3 linked regions of the Pelodiscus sinensis genome follow. The protein of the gene in region 1 interacts with the protein of each later gene in a pairwise test. Links are inferred from orthologs where the notes say so. Each region holds a gene or a part of one and is shown on either strand. Other genes may lie near its edges. The genes, in order: PRKG1, FAM124A and IRAG1.

Region 1 (7,154 bases):
ACAGGAGAATCAATACTGGCTATAGTATTGGGTTGTTACTTGGATGTAGGAGCTATTATTTCCTCTAGCAGATTTGTTCCACCCACACAAATTCCCACTCACCTTATGGTCTAGGAGAATATGCTAAGTTAGTACACTGAACTGCAAACCTTTTGATAACAAAATTAAAAACATTTATTTCCAAAATGACTCTTTTAAAGTAATTGTGCCGATAGTACATGAAATACGTGTGGTATTTTGATATAAACCATGAATTTAAAAGTATACAAGCTTTCTCGTGATTACGGGACCAAACATATCAACATGTATTGGATAGTGAAAAAGATTAAACACTCTATGGAGGATATAGTCTCTCTTCTAGATGTACTCGGTTTTCTTACTTAAACCAACTTGCATAGTCTGTGGCTGCAAATGTGAAACAAGAATAGATGACTTCCCAATTTTATTTAAAGCTTGAAAGATTTATTACAATTGTCCCTTCATCTACTGTGTTGGCAACCAAAACAGCCCAGTGGCAAAAGTCACTGGAGCAGCTTTTTTTCCTTCTGGAAAAGCTCACAAGAGCGAGGAAGAGTAACCTGAAGGTAGGCAGAGCATTATTCAGCACATGAATCTGGTGGAAACCTGCGCATTGGTCTCAACTTTAGGATGGTCCCCGATTTTCTTGTAGTTGGGCTGCATGTCAGGTAAGGAACTCCTCACACCTATTACTCCACCCACCACTTCCTCTGCCTTTCACGCCATATTACACTGCCAGCAAGACTTTGATCGGTTTTATTTTTCATTCGTATCTTGAGATGAGCATTGTTCACCCCAAAGTCATTATTTCTCATGTTATCTTTAGATACATTTAATTGGTTTATGTTCATTACTCTAAAGCCCTTTATAAAATCCAATCAAATGGCACAGAACTATACTATAACCAGGGAAGTATCATATTATGACCGTCACTTTGTCCAAATGTGCATAAGTAGACAAGGCCACATACCTCATTAGATACACCCGTAAGTCTTCCAATATATACAGTTAAGATACAGGACTAAGCTGGAAACGGAGTGAAAATTTAGGATTTCCCCATAAACTTTCTTAAACTGACACACAAAAACTGCTCTTGGAGCTCAATATAAACCTTCTAAAACAACACTCGCGTCCACCTATGGTTCCTGCCCCATTAAACTCTGAACACCTCCTCTCAGCCCAGACAGAAGCGGCTATGCTGCATGACGAACACCAAGAAAAGCACTTTCTTACACACCTGAACAAAGGACTGCCGAGTTTTCTGTCACGTGACAGTTACGGCAGCCTCTCCTTACAAGAAGATGAGGACAGCAAAGACTGCTAAGGATGGAAACAAAGCACAGAGCAAAGAAACAAACCCTTCTCTTCCCCTCAGCCCTTTACTCCTGTTGGGCACAGCGTAGGAGTTTCCTAGCAGCGCATAACAGCATGTGCTCTAATCCTCAGCCATAATTGGCTGACTGCATACATGCCATGCAACTTTTAACCTCGGAATTTCCTTGGTTATGTCAGTTATATCACCGCCTGGGGGGATGATTTAAATGCAAGTTAGCAGGTGTAGTGGACCGGATTTATATTGTAAATCTCCTCTAGTAGTTCGGTGGGCTTGGCTGCTAAGCTACAGCCAAGAGCCAATTTTTATATCCAAGTTGTGCGTCCCAATGGGCGGTGTTTAAAACCTAAAAAATGTGCAAACTTAGCTCCCTGCCCACAGCCACAGCTCAGAGACATCCTTAGCCCCCGGAAACGTGCAAAGCAGTTATGCAGAACGCTGTGGAACTAGTGACATGTGGATTTGTATCAAGTAAGACCTTTGAAACCCCCACACTTGTCAGATGCAGTCCCAAATTTAAAAAAAAGAAAGAAAAGCAAGAGATTGGATTTGCCTTTCTGGATGCTGACTGACATCAGCTCAGGGATTAGCAACACCTTTGTCGGGGGAGAAAATCAGTTTGTGATAGATCAGCCTACACCCGAATCCGGATAGTAAATTCTATTTTGCTTCATATAGTTGACATGTCAAACACCCAGCACTGCGGATACACTCAGCGCAGAGACCAAGAGCACAAAAAAGCCAGACATAAGAACGTACCACATTGGAAAAGACAGTCTGATGGTGACGCTGCCGTTAGCGGGGTTATTGTTTGGATGGGCAAGGTTACACCAGCGCTAGGGAGAATGCGCTTTCCCCCTTCACGGGTTGGGAACTCTGCTCACAGTGGGCTCGGAAATACCTGGACATTGGACAGAGACACAGCGGGATACGGATGCGTGCAGCTACCGTGGCTGAAGAAATGTGGGCAGCCCAGAGAAGCGTGGTTGGGGGGGGGGGCATTTCTGAGGATGAGCACAGAAATGGAAAGCAGAAGGTGCAGGACCCGTCTAAACAAGTGGATGGACAGACAATACAGAGACCATTCAACTACCAAAGACAGGATGTACACAACGCTTAAACCCTGCTTACTGTGGGCTCTTGGGGTAGAAGGGCAGGGTGACATGGCTGAGATCCTGGATGTCAAATGCGGTGGGCTCGGCTGAAATTGCCTGCCTCTTGGTCCTGTGTTCCCCCTGCAAGGTGGTGGTGGTTTGCTGATGCGCCTGCTGGGTGGCGGGCCGGATCACCGAGCGGTACTTATCCAGCTCGTTTTGTAGTTTCTGGATCAGTTCGTCCTTCTGATCCAACTCCAGCTCCAGCTCGTCGATGAGCGCATCCCGCTGCCTCAGCTCCTCGATTTTCTCCTGCAGCGCGTACTGTAAATCCCGCAAAGTGCCCATACTCCTCCTGGGGCCAGGGGCTCCTGCTTCCGGAGCCTGTCTCTCTCCCCCGCTCCCAGCAACTTTCCCCGAAGTACCCGCAGCTTCCCCACTTCAGCCAACTTTGCCGATCGCTCCCGATCGACCTGCCGCCGGCGGATTCCTCCAGCCCTTTAAACACGCCCCCAGCCTGCGCGGGGGCGGGGGGAGCTTGGCAGCGATCCGCGCAGAGCTACGGAGGGAGGATTAGCGACATAATCTTAAACGGAACCCCACCAGCACCACTCTCCCGGAGGCTGGGTTGTTAAGGGTGATTTCGATCTGCCTGCGTCAGGCTAGACTGGAGAGGGAGAGACGGGGGGGGGGGGGGGGGGGGGAAGAGAAGAGAGAGAAAGGGGCGGCTGCAAGATGCGGTAACACATGCACTTTCCCTAGGACTGTGTCAGGGGCAGGGCTACTTTAAGTGTAATTAGTTTCCCCGAGTCTCTACCCTCCACCCTGCTTCGGAAGAGGGGCGGCAGCTTTGCAATTCCAGACTCTTCAATATTTCTCCAGCAAGGCCCCGTTTTCTGGGCAGGTCCAGCATTAGAACCGGCTGCACCCCTCACTCTTCCCCACATGAATAAATAAATCACAATGCTGCCAAACCTAAAGCAATGGCAGGAAAATCTGCGCCGTTTTCTGATGCCACCCAACAAAGTTACCGCTGGGGTAGGATGGCTTCGCTTCCCCCTTTGCCAGGCATTCAGATTTTACAGCCAACAGCTTATCCAATAATTCACTGTAATTACAACTATTAGACTAAGCAGGTATCTATTGTTAAGGTTTCACACGCCATTAAGTCCGTTTTAAGTTTGGAAGAAACCTAAGGAATCATTCAGCCTGAACCAGACTGCTATTCAAATGCTGTTCGCGGTGTGACTGGGGGTTCAAATGCTGTTTGCGGTGTGACTGGGGGTTCTTCCTGGACCTTGCCAGGCTTTGGCTCACCCAAATTGCACTGCACGGACCCAGAACTGATATAACTGCTCCTATTGTCTCTCTAAACAGGCACACCCTGACAGAGCCTGTGGCTTGTGTAACCCAGAGGCACTGAGACCACTGACATGGGAGCATGATGAAGTCTGCCCTACAACCTTAGCTATAGAGCAGACTTCACTCTCCCGTGGCAATGGTCTCAGTGCCTCTCGGTTACACACGGATGTTTCAAAAATAAGTGGATGGGACTAGGATCCTGGCAGTGATGGGCAGCAATACCAAAAATCCCACTAGATCTATGGAGGACAAGCATAATTTCCTCCAGTGCTCAAAAAATCCCTAGACCCCGCTGCAGTACAGTGGATGAAGAGCACAAAATAGGTTCCAATAGCTGGATCCAGCCAGCTTTGATCTCTCATCTTCCATATCTCACAATGTCAAAAGAGACTGAGAGTTCATCTAACACAGGAAAGGCAAGATCCAACCAAATTCCAGTAGAACAGTGTGAAGGACCTAGCACTTTGATTCTGCCAGTTTGACCACACTCACTCAATTTCTAGTGTCCTGTAAAGTCACAAAAGCCTTTGGCCATATATCCCCAAGATGTAAGTGAAAAAAGTGGCTATATCCTCCTGGATCCATGTGCATATTTGGATTTTCACATGTTCATATGCCACGATATATATCACATGTTTATTATGAAAGAGGACCTGACATACAATAGACTATTTTCTGGATCTAGCAAAACCCAGGTGTAAAGTGTGCATTTTAGTTTTGTCTTACAAATGATGTACTTGATGCACAGATCTTCTGGTCTAGCAGAAGCAGTGATATAGGTTTGGATAATATGAGGTGGGGTGTTAGTGCTAAAAAGAGGTAGGATTCAGCAGGGCCTTCTATCACAATTATAGAATTTAGGGGTTTTAGGGACACAAGATCCAGGTGAATCCAGATGCTGGATCTGAGTTGTTGCAGCTTTCATGTACCAGAAAGCATCAAGATTAATTTTTTGTCAGGATACTAGACTAGCTCTTCAGTCTTTTAGGCATTAGAATTGGGAGGAGGGAGGACCAAAAACTGACAGAAGGTGGCAGCTGTAGGGTTCCACAAATGAATGGTTGCAGCACTCATGTAGTAAGATGTGTCAGGGTCCAAACTTTTTTTAATGCAGTAGGAGTAACTAGATTCATTCCCCAGTTGTGGCTTTGTACTGAAAATATACAAGATACTTCAAAATGCAGACGGATCCAGTTTTTATCTTTTTCTGTTGTTGAGTAATGCCACTTGAGTGACTCTACAGCCCCAGCTTTCCACCTGCTGATAGTCTCTATAATATAGATAGATGAACATCTAAAAAAACCACGTTCTAAATCCCTTATAGTACAAAATGATTGTTTTAAAGGACTAAACATTACCATAAATATTTGATGAGTCTCTGCAGCTTCCTGCATGTATTTGATTCTCTGTATATTTTTCAACAAACAATTTTGGGTTACACAATGCTCAAATACCATTTCAAATAAATATGCAGCAGTTTAAATCTTTTAGCTGGGCTGTTTTAAACCAAGAGTGATACAATTTCATTTGTCTTTTCAAAATATGGACACTGTGTAAACATTTTAAGTTCAGAACCCAATTTGCTGAATATTTTCTCCCACTTCATCTTAGTAAATTGTTTGGGTTCTATCACAATATTTCTATGATAAAGATGAGTGCATCTGCATAACTTTTGCTGTTTACAAAATATAAATGAATGCTAAAATTGATGTATTATTTCCCTTTCTTTAAATCAACATATTTATTTTTTCTTTCTTTCCCCCAATCAGATTAGACCCTGACACTTAGATAATGAAATTGTATGGCTGCTGACTGAAGCCCAGACTTCAATACAATTGTTACCCAAAGTGGAAATTGATCCATAACTTTTGAGTAGCAAATAACACCACATAATTCTTTTATTTAGATTTCATTTACAGTGCATAACCTACAATCTAGATAGCTATATGTTACATGAAAAAGGAAAGACATCCATGAAATTACACTGGATCAATAAAGCTAGCAGAGGTGCACAAGGTCAGGACTGATGTGTTTTATATAGCGTCATACACATGAAGCTCTGAAATAGGTTGACATCAATGGTTATAAAAGCTTGCACATCTTCTGCTTACTTTGTCACTTAAACCATTGTTATTGGCTGCTCATATTTATGAGCAATGAAACTGGTCATATTACTCTAAATTCTTTCTAAAATAAAAAACATACTTATGGATAGAGGACATGCTCCTGTGGTAGCCATGGGAACTGAGATCCAAAGACAGTTTGAGTGACAAATTACAACAAACACCACCACAAATAAACACGGAAATAATCTTAATAGATATAACTTTAAAACCAAAGAATCCCAAAGCACTTCTACTATCAACAAAATCTTGCCAGGTGATCGACTCTGACGACTGTTGGCAGCAAAAAGTAACAACCATATTTGTTTTCTAATATCCTAAGGATGCCACAGGGCTAATTATGAATTCAGTGAGGATAAGAACAGCCATACTGGGTCAGATCAAGGGTCCATCTAGCCCAGTATTCTGTCTTCCAACAGTGACTAGCACTAAGTGCCCCAAGATGGAATGAACAGAAAAAATAATCAAGCAATCCCACCCCATCACCCATTTCCAGCCTCTGACAAACAGAGGCTAAGGACACCATTGCTACCCTTTTTTGCATTTCTTGAGGAGAGCCCATGTGGAGTTAATAGATTAGATAGGCAAACCCCGTGCATAAGAAATCCCAGCACTGTAATTTAGGGAACACATCCAATACAACTGCAACATCCCTGACCACATTGGTTCTCTGACACAGCCCCAGCAGCACTCACCACGCTGTGGCGAACTGGGGCAGTCTTCTCCCATCCTTGTACCAGGACAGCCATTTCAGCTCTTTCAAGTGGATACAACCCTGCTCTTCCCAGCAAGAACCCCCACAGAATCCCCTACCCATCTTCATTTCTGGTGGTTCCTCTACGTCCAGCAATCTATCGACACCTACAGGGCTGGCGAAGTTTCTTCACCACTCCCTCACCTTCAGCCTTTGGTTCCTGCTTAAAGCCAGCAGGCACCAGCCTTTTTTACTTTCAGACTTCAGCTGTCTTTAGTCTTTGCTCTCTGTCTGGCACAGGAAGAACAGCAGGCTGTCCCTTCACTGTTTTTTTAACCCCCCCCCCCCCCCCCCCCCCCAGCCCTTTTCATCCTTCTAGGCTTTGGCCTTTGAAATCAGTAAGCTAGCACCACCACTGGCTTCCTGATAACTGCCTTCTTCCTAGGAAGCTTCTCTGTTCACTGCTGTTTTCTATACAGGCTTCCTCTATTCTCCTGGGTTTTCCTGACTCCCTAGGATTCTCAGTCACT
Region 2 (7,221 bases), on another chromosome or scaffold:
TGAAATATGATGGAGAGATGGCAGCTTCCTCTGGTCCTGTTGGAGCCAGAGGATGAGCAGGACCAAGAGACATCAAGGGCTAAAGTCTATGCTCTCTCTCCCTCAGTCTAAAAAGAGGAGGGAAGTGAGACCAAGAGATTATAAGGGTGTAAATCCCTTGTCCATGGCTCCCTCCACAGGAGTTCCACTTGAGGAATTAGCCGTCCTCCCCACAGATAGCCAGATGGCAAGAGAAGACAGCAGCATCTGAGATAGAGAATTTCCCCAGCAGCCTGCTCTCTTCTGAACTGAACATTGCATCAACAATGGATGAGAGTAGGAACAGAAGGGGACTTGAAAAAAAAATTGTCTTGTGAGCAAAACACTAGACTGAGCCTCGGGATAGTTGGGTTCTATTCAGAGGTGAAAGTGGGCCAGTATGGGCTGGTACAGCATACCAGTAAGCATCGGCCACTGCTCCTGGCTCATACATGGCTGATGTTAAAATGTTCCCACACTAGCACTTTAACATCACTGCCCCTGTTGCTCCCCTGTCTTTGCTGGTAGGATCCAGCAGCGCTGCCAGATCCTATTGGCAGGGCAACCAATGAGGGAGGAGCAAAAAGGGGCAGCTTCCCTGGGCCACGGTGATTTAAAAGGGTCAGGGTCAGGAAGCAGCGCCTTGGGGTTGGGGTACTTTGCTTGCTGCTGCTATAGTGAAGTAGAGCGCAGCAGGCCAGGAGAGGGTGATGAGGCAAAGTGGAGCAGGCTGCTGGATTGCTCCAGCTCCCACCATTCCAGTGAGTGGGGGTATGTGACCCCTGCTGCCACCCTGCCAGGTCTCCCAGGTAATTCCACTGATCCCATCCACAGGATGGCTGAGGTGGTGACTTCGGGGGACCCCAAAGTGTGGAGACAGAGGCGACCGCCCTGAACCATCTTATGGCTGGGATGGCTCTGGCTCTGATCTCCTGGCTTCTGTTACCGCATCAATGGTGGCTGGAAGCCCCATGCCCTTCAAATCACAGCTGGAGCCCCACAGTTCCCAGCTGCTGATGCTGCTGCCATGGAAGGCAAGAGCTGGCTGGGGGGGGGGGGGGGATCTGGCCCCAGCCCTACCCCTTCCACTAGAGGCTCTGCCCTTTTTGGGGACCAGAGCCACCTCCCACCTTGCCAAAGACCACAGTCCACTGGTAAATTCTGGCAATTACTTTCACCCCTGGTTGTGTTCCTGATTCTGCCAGAACCTTTCTGTGTAACCTTGGCCAAATCACTTGGTAGGCTTTTTGATGCCCCACCTGTAAAATGGGGATATGATGATGAGGACAGCTGGGTGCTGTGAGGGTAAATTCATTAAGATTGTGTGGCACTCTGATTCTCTGAGGCTACATCTAGACCGCTTTCCTTTTTTGGGATACTGGAGGTATCCGAGAAAAGCAACATCGCGTCCAAGGAACACATTTAAAAACAAAACAAAAAAAGAGGACGTGCTCTTTCGCCATCCCTGTAAACTGCGTTCTACGAGGATAAGGGATGTGTCAAAAGAGCATTTTACTTCAACATTTGGCTCCCTGTAGAAAAAGCCTCTTTCAAAAGAAAATCTGAAAAAGATACGCAACTTTCCAATATAACATTGCAGTGTAGACCTAGCCTGAGAGAGAACTATTTCCTGCTTCCCCATGACACTACAGAGGAGGCTTAACAGGTGGAGCAACCCTCCAAGTCCTTTGGGGAGCTGGGCAGGAGGAGGCAGCAGCTAGAAGGAGACCCCTTTTTGCCTGCAGCTGTTCCTAGTCTTGTGCACAGTATATTTGAGCTCCTGTGCATATCCCTGGAGAGCTCCTGCTGTGCGCTTGCAGCCTCCCTTGTCTGTGTGGGCCTCTCACACAGCACCACTCGCATACATGCCAACAAGGAGCCGGGAGGACTGAGGTGGGCACTTGGGGTCAGCATCGTGTAATGATTATTGGTGACTTATTACAGATATGTCTTTTGTGTGCGCTGACCAGGCCCAGATTAAGATCTTTAGAGGCCCTAAGCATTGAAAAGATCATGGTGCCCCCCCCCATGAAATTCAAAATAAAAATAATACTATACCATAAAATCTCTTTTTTTGTGTGCCCCTGCTTTGCTTGTGCCCTAAGCACGTGCTTAGTCTGCCCATTGGGTAATCCAGCCCTGGCGCTAACTGAAAGCCAAACCTTGGGAGCAAATACCCTGAATATTTAGGACTGAGTCCAGATTCAGCTCCGCTTTTTTTCCAGCCGGCAACTGAACACTGACAGTACAAAACTTCACTCAGCAGGCAGCCACAGAACAGACTTTGTATGTGTGTGGACGGGGTGGGGGGCAGCTCCGGACCCGCGGCTGCCTCTTGCAGCAGGCACAAAAGAAAGGAGGAAGCCGAGAAACGCAACAAGTGCGGCAGCATCTCGGCCCCTCTGGCTGCGGGAGCTGGGAAAAGAAACCCAAACCAGCAAGACGCAGGATTAGGAGCGGATCCCCCCCCCGACCCCATCTGCCGCCCAGTGGTGGAGCCGGGCGGGACAAGCCGCCTTCGCGCCTCCGCGAGAGCCGAGATGCCCAGCCGCTTTCTAGCGCCCGCGGCGGCAGGTGTCACTAGAGGGGAGGGCAGGGGAAGCGCCGCCACCCCCGGGCCAAGCAAGCGGGGACCGCTCCCTGGCCAGGCTCTCCCTCCCCCAGAGCCTGGGCTGCGGAGCCGGCTTCCCCCAGCCGGATCGGGGCCCCCGCGCCCACCCCGTCCTGCGCCGCCGCCTCTCTCCCCAGCCCCTGCGCTGCCCGCGCCCTGCCCGGGACTCACCCGCCAGTCTCGGCTCCCGAGTCCACGCAGTCATCCTCGCCGCCCGCCTTCCGCTCCATGGCAGGCGTCAGGGCTGCTCCATCCCCCGCCTCCTGCCCGCGGCTGGCTGCGGCCGCCTCCCGCAGCCCCAGCGCCCTGGGTGCGGAGCCAGAGCTGCGCCGCGCAGGCCGCCGGGCTCCTCTCTGCGGTGGCAGCCGGAGCGTGTGCGGGAGCCTGCCCGCCCCCCTGCCAGCCCCGCCGCCGGGTGTCAGCGCCGCTCCTCTGGCCCGGCCTCCTCCCCGCCTTTGTGCGCGGCTCGCCCCCCACGCACCCCCCAGTGGCCTGCCCGCTCTACAGCAGCCACGCGCTCCTTGAGAAGGGGCGCAGCTCTACTGGGGAGAAGGCCCCACGCTTTGGAAGTGGGTCTGTCTCACAGGTGCCATCATCACTGATAAAAGCTCCCCACCAGGCCCTCTTAAGCACATCTATGAGTGTCACACACGCGCTTGGGAGTACATGACACAAATTCTATATCCAAGGAGCCATCCTGCTTAATTCCAGTGGCTGTGACTGAAGTTTGCCTTCTCCCCTTTCCCCCTCTTTTGCCGGTTACCAGGAGCTACCTTTCAGTGACCTGGGGTACTTTGAGATCTGCTGGGATGACATGGAAAGGATTATTGCCAGGGCTTTTCAAAGGATCAAGGGCATGTCTACATTAGGATGTTTTGTCAACTTAGCCATACTAGTTAAAGACATAACTTCCCTGTGGTGAGCACAGTTATGTAGCTATAAGGATGCTTACATTGAATGGTAGAGCTTATTCAGGTTTAGGAAGTGAAATAAGTTATATGGGCATAAGGCCCTTTAAAATTGCATATAGGTTAGGTGTACAGCAGTATAATGATACTAGTTACAAAAAATCAGCCTTAAAGCAACATGTAACTTCTCTAGTGTAAAGCCTCAGGCTGTGTCTAGACTACAGGCTTCTTTAGGAGGAAGCTTTTTTCGGAAGAGATCTTCCAAAAAAAGTCTTCCGAAAGAGAGTGTCCACACTGCAAAAGTGCATCGAAAAAGCAATCTGCTTTTTCAAAAGAGAGCGTCCAGACTGAATGGATGCTCTCTGGCATATAAGCTGTGATTGCTATGGACGGAATGGCCACCGGGGCACCTGTGTTTTTTCCTCTTCTTCCAAAAGAACTCCCTCTTCCCCATCCACAAATGCCTTTTTGCAAAAAAGCTCTTTCACAAAAAGGCTTCATAGAATGAGGATTACCAATGCCAGAAAAGCCCCTCTGTTCTTTCGATTTTCTTGCAGAAGAATGCAATGGCTGTGTGGACGTAAGGGAAGTTTTGTCAGAAAAACGGCTGTTTTTCCGACAAAACTCTGTAGTGTAGACACACCCTCAGAGACTTTGTCTACACTGCATGCTTATTTTGAAATAACTTGTTATATCTAAATAACAGAGTGCGCATCTACACAGCAAGTCCGTTATTTCGAAATAATTTCAAAATAGTGGGCTTCTTACTCTGACTTCGGTAACCCTCATTTCACGGGGAGTAAGGGAAGTCGAAGGAAGTGTGTTCTTCCTTCAACTTCCTGTTGGGTAGACAGTGACAAAAGCCAAGTTAAGCTACCTTGACTTCAGCTACACAACTAACATATCTTTACTCAACTTTAGACAGCAGTGTAGATGTACCCAGAGGGTTAGCTGTGTTACTCTGTATCTGTAAAAACAACAAGGAGTCCTGTGGCACCTTAAGGAATGTCTGCACTAGGAAATTATTTTGAACTAAGGGTATGTCTACACTACAATGTTAGTTCGAACTAACGGACGTTAGTTCGAACTAACATTCATAGCCGCTACACTAGCGCTCCGCTAGTTCGAATTTGAATCAAACTAGCAGAGCGCTTAGTTCGAACTAGGAAAACCTCATTTTACGAGGATTAAGCCTAGTTCGAACTTACTAGTTCGAATTAAGGGGTGTGTAGCCCCTTAATTCGAACTAGTGGGAGGCTAGCCCTCCCCAGGTTTCCCTGGTGGCCACTCTGGCCAACACCAGGGAAACTCTATGCCCCCCTCCCGGCCCCGGAACCCTTAAAGGGGCACGGGCTGGCTACGGTGCCCGTGCCAGGTGCAAGCCTGCCAGCACCCAGCCAGCAGACCCTGCAACTGGCACGGCACAGAGCCACCCATCCGATGTCCCCCAGCCCACCCCCTCTTCCCGGGACCAGGCTGGCGGCTCCCGGGAGCTTGCCCTGGACCGCAAGAGGCGGGCACCTTCCTGGGCTAGTGCGGACATCGTGGACCTCGTCCACGATCTCCGCACTAGGCACAGGAAAGTGGCCGTCTAGGGCAGGAGAGCTGCCAGCCTGGCCACCCAGGAGCAGGTGTGCATGAAAATCAAGGGGGTCCACTGAGACCCCCGACCCTGAGCCCTGAGCTTACAATGGCCGTCCTGGGTCAGACCAAAGGTCCATCTAGCCCAGTAGCCTGTCTGCCGACAGCGGCCAACCCTAGGGACCCTGGAGGGGATGGACCGAAGACAGTGACCAAGCCATTTGTCTCGTGCCATCCCTCTCCAGCCTTCCACAAACTTTGGGCAGGGACACCACTCCTACCCCCTGGCTAATAGCACTCCATGGACCCAACCTCCATGACTTGATCTCACTTCCCTTTAAACTCTGTTCTAGTTGTAGCCTTCACAGCCTCCTGCAGCAAGGAGTTCCACAGGTTAACTATTTGCTTTCTGAAGAAGAACAACTTTCTCTTACTAGTTTGAAGCCTGCTACCCATTCCTTTCCTTTGGTGTCCTCTAGTCCTTCTTTATGGGAACTCAGGAAGAACTTTTCTGTGTGCACCCTCTCCACCCAACCCCTGCTTTTAGAGACCTCTATACTGTCCCCGCTCCATCTCCTCTTTTCTAAGCTGAACAGTCCCAGTCTCTGTAGCCTCTCTTCATCTGGGACCTGTTCCCAACCCCTGATCATGTTAGTTGCCCTCCCCTCTCCCAGCCTTTCTCTTCCCCTCTCCCACCTCCTTTTCCCAGTCTCCCCCAGTTTTGTTCAATACAGACAGAGTCAATGTTGGAAGAAACGTTATCTTTATTTTGTACATCAATAAGAAGGGGGGCTAGGGAAGGGTAAGTGGAAGGAGGTGAGGGAGGAATGGGGTACGAGCCCCCGATGGGGAGGACTGGGCTGGCTCTGCGGGCTTCTGGGGGTGGAAGCTCTCCTGCAGCCCCCCGATTGCCCTCTCTCCCCAGATGGCAGCCTGTGGCAAGTGCAGCCGGTCTGATGGCCGAGTGGTGTGATGTGTCCAGTGTGGGTACTCCGGGCAATCCAAGCCAGGACTGCTTTGCAAGCGGGGCACCCTGAGAACTGTCTGTCCGGGGTGGGGGTCGGGTCCCTTTAAGCGCAGCCCTCGGCTAGCCTGAGATAGCAGCTCCACGCTCTAAGTCCTCCTCTGATGCCCTGCTGGCACTGCTTCCGGCCATCCTTAAGCCCTGTTCAGGGTCCACTCAATGTGGACTTGCTAGTGTAGCGCCTATGAAAGTTAGTTCGAACTAACTCTGTAGTGTAGACATACCCTCAGAGCCACTTGAACCCACATTGCACTGTGCCCCCACTCCCTGCCAGCAATTAGCGCTGTTTGGATTGCACTGACCAGGGCTTGTGGGAAAATTTAAAGTGCCTAGGGCTTCAGTCACTGCTGTTGCCACAGTAGCAGCAGTGGTAGTGGTGGCCAGGAGCCCTGTGACCTTTTGACTCACCACACCCTGGGGGAGTTGTCTCTTTTGTCCCCCTCTGTTGGTAGGCCTGAAGGCTTATATACAATATAAGCTCTGTTCACTGATGTCCCCTTCCCCTTCCACTGAGTTAGTAAAAACTAGTTTGGATAAAGTATCAGAGGGGTAGCCGTCTGCAAAAGCGATGAAGAGTCCTGTGGCACCTTATAGACTAACAGATTTATTGGAGCATAAGCTTTCATGGGCAAAGACCCACGTCATCAGATGCATGTAGTGGAAATTCCAGAGGCAGGTATAAATATACAGGCATAAGAAAAGAGTTCCAATCAAGAGTAAGGCTAGAGATAACGATGTCAATTCAGTCAGGGAGGATGAGGCCCACTTCTAGCAGCTGATGTGGAGGTGTGAACACCAAGAGAGGAGAAACTGCTTTTGCAGTTGGCCAGCCATTCACAGTCTTTGTTTAATCCTAAACTGATGGTGTCAAATTTGCAGATGAACTATAGCTCAGCAGTTTCTCTTTGAAGTCTGTTCTTCAAAGTTTGGATAAAGTACTAGACAGAGTCCTATAAGGAGCAATCCTGCACTATCCAGGGGATGTCACATCCATACATTACAATATTTATACATTTAAATATTAAGGGACAGATTCTGCCCCACTTCTTCCTTACTCATGTAGAGTGTGATGAGGCACT
Region 3 (7,262 bases), on another chromosome or scaffold:
TGTACTGGACCACTGTCACCCCCCCCCCCCAAATCTTTAGACCTATGTATCCAGCCACTGAGTAGCCATTAGTCCCCTCTCTGCTTGGTGCCTGGATCCATGGAACCATGGCCTGGGATTTGTGAGATCACTGACCCTTGAAAAAATAGACTAAGTGAAAAGTGCATCCAGATACCACAGAGGTCTAGGAAATATCAGTGCATGAGAGCTACCTGCATTTGTATATAAAGTATGAGTGTTTTTAATTAAGGAATTATAACAACTATCATTCTGAGTGTTACATTCTTTCTTGATTTACAATGTATAATGTCTGATAAAACACTAACTGGCAAATTGTAGGCCCACAAATGAGGGGGGTGAGCTGAGAGGGCAAAAAAGACAAGTGCACAAGGGCCCAGCAATTCAAAAGATCCTGGGGCTGCCACTGTAGCAGTGGCAGGAGTCCCAGGCCCTTTAAATCACTGCTGAAGAGCCACATGACACACTCCAGGAGTGCTGGGGACTGCCTTGGATAGGTGCAGCGCACTGTGGGCAGCACTGAAGGCTGCCTAGGGAAGATAAACCCCAAACCTGCTCCTTTTGGATGAGGATCTGCTCCTTCTGTGACACACACACCCCCACCACCAACACCCATACACACACACACACACACAAATGCCCAACGAGTCTGTTGGCCCCACTGGCAAGTTGCTATAAAATGTGATATTAACAAAAAATACCGCTCTAGCTCTGCACTAGGGCTACGTCTACATTGGCAAGATTTTGCGCAAAAGCTCCCACTTTTGCACAAAAACATGCTGCCTGTCTACACTGGCGGGGAGTTCTTGCGCAAGAACACTGATGTTCTAATGTGTGAAATCAGGGCTTCTTGCACAAGAACTATGATGCTCTCGCTCAGGAAAAAGCCCTCTTGTGCAACTGTTCTTTCGCAAGAGGCCAGTGTAGACAGGCAACATGAATTTCTTGCGCAAGAAAGCCCGATGGCTAAAATGGCCTTGGAGCTTCTTGCACAAGAGAGCATCTTCACTGGCATGGATGCTTTTGCACAAAAGCGCATCTCTTGCGCAAAAGCACATGCCAGTGTAGACGCTGTCTTGCACAAATACTTTAACACAAAAACTCTTGCGTTAAAAGTATTTGCGCAAAATCTTGCCAATGTAGATGTAGCGTAGGTGTAAGCATAACAACTTGTTTAAAACTGAAAAGCAGATATTAGTCCAGTCCCCATATGAAGTTATTAATAAACAATGATCCAAATGATCCAAAGCTACGTATGACTGACAAATGTGAATCATCATACACACTGAAATCACATCCATGTGGCCCACAAATGAAGATACATATAAGTCTAAGAGATCAGAATAAGGCCCTTAGTCACTGGAATGTTTTGAAAAATGAAGTTCCCTATATATAGTACAGCATTTTCTTTGTCTAATGTATTGGATTGTTTCTGACTGTGTCACCCACAATATTCATCTGCATTTTGCAGGCTGCATTTTGTTATTTCCTTTCATCCAAGTAGCCTAATTATAAAACCTAATAAATATATTCATTTACATTTCCTGGAGATTTATTTTTAGGATACCAGTAGATGCAAGTCAACATTATGAATGATTTAAAGTATGATGAACTAGTGGAAAAATAGCCGCTAATGAAAGACTCAAATTTCAGAGAAAAATAACAGTGAAGTAAATAATAATATTTGTAACTGGCTCTGAATGTTAAAGCAATTAAGAAACATGTGCTATATTATCTTGAAACTGGATGTAATGAATTTTCACATAAGGTGTATACAACACGTACCAGTGTCAAAAAGAAATGTAGCAGCTCTTTGCAGGAACTCTGTCTCTAATCAGAACAAAAATGCTTTTTCTAAATAACATGCAGCAGAAGCTAATGTAGGTATCTGTTCTCATCATGTGTACTTCGTTGCACAGGAATTTTTCACCAGGTGAAATCAGGCTATTTTTTAGAAGCTTGAAATCTAATTCACTAAGGAGCACTTATATTATTAATATGACTGGCCTGAACAGTCATGACCCTGATTTGAATTCTTATTTACTTATTTCTTTCTGAAAAAATTCTTAACATACATATTTTTAAATCACAAGAAGTATATATTTTTTTAATTTACCAAATAAAGGAAATGTAACTATCAACAGCTTCAGTACAGACTTAAACAAATTTAAAAATATCAGAAACCTATAATACTGTGATTTTTTAAAAAAAACTTAGAATTTTAAGATACTTAAATTTGCAAAGTAGGGGGTTATTTTCTATGGATAATGAAGAATTTAAAAAGTTGAGTTAGTTATAAATTATCAGCATTTGTTTATTCTTATTGGTATTTAAAAGCAAACATGTACTATAGAAAGAAATGTCTCAAGAAACATCTCTGGAACCTGTCTTTTAGGAGACAGCTAGGTAACCCATCAAAATGAGCAACTCTGGTGCCTACACTGTTAAAAGAGTGCATGCAAGGAAACCGATCATACAACTGTATTTTAAACAAAAAGAATTAATAATTTACTACCCTTAAATGTTTATAGACAAATGTTTAAAATTATCTCAAACAGCACAGTATAGTTACCAATTATTCTGAATCAGGGTTACATTTCATTACTGATTAACCTACCTTTCTTTAGCAAACTTCTATCTAACCAGAACAGGCTTTTCTTTAGCATACTTGTCTCTCCCCAAAAGAGTATGCAAGAAAAACCAGATTTTGTTAAGTACAATGTCTTGCTACACCCATTTTTTGACACACAGTCAATTTAATGGTGGGGGGGAAGCTACCCAAGAAAGTGCGGTATCATAACAATGAGGTACTATACCTTTAAGGAATAAACTGGTTCCGTTCTGTTTCACAGCTGAAGGAGACAGTTTATTCTTGGTTTCATAGATTACTTACCTAAAACTGAGTTATTCCTCTTTTTCCCCTCAGGCGGGCCTCACTCTCACAGCTTTTACCATTTAAGGTCAATATTACAGCTGGCTCTATTAACTGAGCTGAAGCAGTTTCGAACTCAGAGACCCAAGACAGTCAGCAGACTAACAGTGGGTGAGTTTCAATTGAAACTAATGCTTCAGAATATGCCTTTCTTCTGACTCCACAGAATGGTGGAATAAAAGGCTTTCTCTATTCTGGCATAAGCCTCTGAGAGCAAAAGACAGAGACACCACATTAGCATTTTCTGAGCTCTCTGTGCCTGAGCTTCTATTACTCATTTCTGAATAACTGATTAAAATAGGCAAGTAGGAAGAACTGATGAAATATGATTTTCATCTTAATGTGTTAACCCTTACTATGAAGTTTTACAAGAATAAATGTAATTTGAAGAAGTTTTTCCTTTGGTTGGTCAGAGGCTGCCTAAATAAGATGACCCACTAAAAAGGCATGTGAGCTTGTAAAGAACATTGGCCTCTTTCCAATAATGACCCCTATATTCACCTCACAGAAGCTGAGTAACTCTCATTAAAGTGGGGGGAGGGCTGTTCACATCTTGCAGGGGGGAAGATTGTGCCCCTACAACATAGTAAATTGTTTTCTTTTCAGTGTTTTATAGAGAGAGAAAGAAAGGAATAAAGCAGTAATTTTACAGATGCTAACTCTGGGATAGCACACAGGTTTTCCTCCAATTGTTGGACTACTGATTATTTATTTAATATTACAGCAGTACTCAGTTGAGGATCCCAAGCAGGATCAGAGCCCTATTATATGAAATGCAAGAAGCATAGAATGCAGCAGAAGAGCAGGTGGTGGGCGGGGAGATACTTGTGACAGAATTAAAAATACAAAATTGTACATGCTAGCTAGGTGTAAAATTTAGAGACTGCATAATGGGAGTCAATTTAAGTGAACAAGAAATAATGAATCACTATTAGTTCATCTTCGTAGCCAGTATCATGCAACATCTGACCATGCGTATCATGGAAGAAGTGGGTCAGATAGAAAGGATTTTAAGGAGGAACATGGAACTCTGTAAATGTACTTGGAAAACATGTTCCACGTGAAAAGGATAATATAAAAGAAGACATGAAGATGCTTGTGGGTGAGATGAACAATGGTGGCCAGATCATAATGTAGCATAGCTGGTGGAGTGAATGGAATAGATTGTGACTCAGTGACATTAAGGACTGGATGAATAAGAAGACACTAAATTATAAAGCACTTTTTCTCAGAGGTAAAAGACAATTTAACTGAATAATTCTTAAAGAAACTAAATCTGTGTTCAGACAGCATAAAAAAGTGCCATGTTAGTAACAGAAGAGGGAGCTAACTTCTAAATTCTCCTATCTTCTATGTTCCTTTGTGATTTTCCCCCATGCTGTCCTCTAGATTTTTTGATCATGTCCATAACCAAAGCCTCTACAAATATCACACTACAAATCCAGTAGGTCATCCAGTCCATCCTGTGCTGGTGTGTGTGTCTTTTGGTACAGTGGTTTTCAAACTTCGCCAGACTGAGACTCCCTATCTATGCAGGAACCTTGTCCCATTTAGTAATATGGGGAGGAATATGTGGTCATGAGCCCCTGACACTTTTGGTCAATCACCCCCAGGATGAAAACACATGACAGAACATTCTATGGCTACGTCTACATTGGCCCCTATTACGGAATAGGCATGCAAATGTAGCACTTTGGAAGAGGCAATTCCGCGGAGGATTTAAATATCCCCACGGCATTTGCATTTTCATGGCCGCCGCTTTTTTCCGGCTTGGAGATAAGCCGGAGAAAAGCGTCCAGACTGGCGCGATCCTCCGGAATAAAGCCCTATTCCGGAGGATCTCTTATTCCTACTTGCAAGTAGGAATAAGAGATCCTCCGGAATAGGGCTTTATTCCGGAGGATCGCGCCAGTCTGGACGCTTTTCTCCAGGTTATCTCCAAGCCGGAAAAAAGCGGCGGCCATGAAAATGCAAATGCCGCGGGGATATTTAAATCCTCCGCGGATTTGCCTCTTCCAAAGTGCTACATTTGCATGCCTATTCCGTAATAGGCGGCCAGTGTAGACACAGCCTCTATAAGTTTTCTAAATTAGTCAAATGATATGAAATGTAAATGATGGAAACCACTTCAAGCCAAGGAGTGCCGTTGTATCCCAGCACCCTTAGTCCCAGCACCCCTGTTGCCTGCAACTTTTGAGAGAGACTATTCTATAGTATTTAGCCTAAATTTACAATTGCTTAATTTCATGACACTCCACTGCTGTCCTCAGAATAAAATCACCCTATAAATACAAAATACTGTTATTGCTCCTAATTACATTCCCCCAGCAATACGAAATTATTTCTTTACCTCTTTGCTGCTGACATCTTTTAATCACTCAATTTTTTAAATATTCAAAAACATATTCCTTGGAATAAAAACTATCTATTCCTACTTTGTGCCATTTTCAGTGAGCATTCTATTTTTCTGTATCCCAAAGACATTTTCTAGTTGACATTTTCTCTGTTGATTTAGGGTAAAATTTCTATTCTGCTCAATAGTGCTCTGACAGACATAAAACCTGTCTGGCTATTATATAAAACTGTTCTAGCTCTGGTCTCTGGCTAAGCCTGACCCAAAATTCATTGAAGTTAATAGGAGTTTTTCACCCAAGGTCTTTACTTCTTGGAAGCAACTCTAGGCACAAATTATTTTCTGACCAACAATGACTCTAATTTGGCATAGACTGAATCTTAATTTGGAATCTGCTATTTGAAAAAATTAACTTCCTGGGAGACGAGAAGAAGAAAATAATGATTAAATTCATCTGAACATTTGATTTATTTGTGTAAAGATGAAAATTCCTCAGTAATGTCTGAAAGAAGCAGTTCTTAGTAAAATTACAAATAAATTCCTGTACTATTTTCAGGAGTTTAAGAATAAAGACGCTAGGCATAGTATGAAGTATTAATTATTCTACTTGTTACCATTTGGCTCTACCTTCTTTCTGAAACTTTTTCTCTGTAATGCAATGGTAAAAACACAGAGAAATTGTTTACATCTTGTGAAAGACTAGATCCTATCTTTTGCAAGCACAGAACCAAGAATAGAGAAATCTTTCTACTGCAAAAACCCTCCAGTTGCGCAGTAGTGTAACATTCTGATATTAAATTAGGATTCTATTAAATGAATTTTAGAATTTGATGTTTAAAAATAACATCTCCAGAGAGCAGTTGTAAAGTTCTAGGACCTTTGCCCTACAATGGATACTTCCATGCTCTTGGGCATGAAAAAATACTCTGGGTGTATTCCTGTAGTTTTGGGTCCACTGGTCCCATTTTTACACCTTCTCAATGAGACTGTCAATCATCATTAGTATTTAGCTACTGGAACTGCTATAAAAATTGTTCTATTCTTGTATTTTCTAAGTTATTCTTTCTTGTTAGGAGTTCGCTTTTTTTTTTTTTTTTTTTTTTTTTTTTTGCCTTACTTGGCTGTAACAAATATCAGGATAGCTCAGAGCTAGTCATACCAAACAATACTAATGACCTAGTAGTAAAAAATTGAACCAGAACTTTACTGAAGTACACACTGGAGCCCACACCTAAAACCACATAGAGGAGATGCAAAAATTGTGTGTCTATTGGAAGCCATACAGAGGCCTTTCAGGAGTCAGAGATAATATCACTCACTTCTTAATAACTGTAGCACATCCACGTATATCAAATGGGGAGAGAGTCTGTAAATGCCAATGTAAAACAAAGCAGTCAGAAAACAGCTGAAAAAGCCATGAGCAACACAGAGACAACATGGAGAAAAGCAAGGGATAAATCAGGCTTAGGAAGCACAAAAAGGGCAGAGATTGTTCAAAGGGCATAAGGAGTATAAAGGAGAAGGGAAGAACATTTTATGGGTTCAGAAAGCAAGGATAGTAAACTCAGGAAGAGAACAAAAAGTTAGAACATCATGGAGAAAGGCCAGGGACAGTCAATGACCCAGACTGTGTAAGAGTGTCAGCTGCAGCCCACAAAGACACAATCAATGGAGAGAAGAGCCAAGCACAGTGTGAAGAGTCATTCAAAAGAACAGACTGAGATAGCCAGAAAGTACATCATCCATCAGTTCAAAAAGACTCCATACGTTCTTCCTCAAAAAAATCCAGCCCCCTAACAAAAACTCTGTCCCTTAATCTACTGATGAATTAAATAAACAGTACATGAACAGAGATTCATATATTTTCCTAAACCAAGTTTTAAACTGTGAAAAGCTAAAAATCAACATTAAATTAAATCAATCCCTTGTGCTACAGAAGGCTTCATCTTTGGGTTGTTT

The links.
Region 2: the proteins of PRKG1 (region 1) and FAM124A interact in binary tests that used the Homo sapiens proteins (3 or more experiments, as listed by UniProt). The two-hybrid records come from large-scale screens. The link is inferred for Pelodiscus sinensis from reciprocal best matches to the Homo sapiens genes PRKG1 and FAM124A.
Region 3: the proteins of PRKG1 (region 1) and IRAG1 interact in a two-hybrid assay, tested with the Homo sapiens proteins (2 studies listed by BioGRID). The link is inferred for Pelodiscus sinensis from reciprocal best matches to the Homo sapiens genes PRKG1 and IRAG1.

Annotation. Positions count from the first base shown.
Region 1 is NC_134718.1:37,896,764-37,903,917, forward strand, and holds the start of PRKG1 (cGMP-dependent protein kinase 1), read right to left. Parts: upstream 3,090-7,154; 5' UTR 2,794-3,089; coding exon 2,483-2,793; intron 1,279-2,482; exon of another isoform or gene 1,256-1,278; intron 1-1,255. UniProt on the Homo sapiens protein: Serine/threonine protein kinase that acts as a key mediator of the nitric oxide (NO)/cGMP signaling pathway. GMP binding activates PRKG1, which phosphorylates serines and threonines on many cellular proteins.
Region 2 is NC_134711.1:291,034,895-291,042,115, reverse strand, and holds the start of FAM124A (protein FAM124A), read right to left. Parts: upstream 3,007-7,221; 5' UTR 2,860-3,006; coding exon 2,801-2,859; intron 1-2,800.
Region 3 is NC_134714.1:104,874,273-104,881,534, reverse strand, and holds the start of IRAG1 (inositol 1,4,5-triphosphate receptor associated 1), read right to left. Parts: upstream 3,035-7,262; 5' UTR 2,912-3,034; exon of another isoform or gene 2,835-2,911; intron 2,757-2,834; exon of another isoform or gene 2,636-2,756; intron 1-2,635.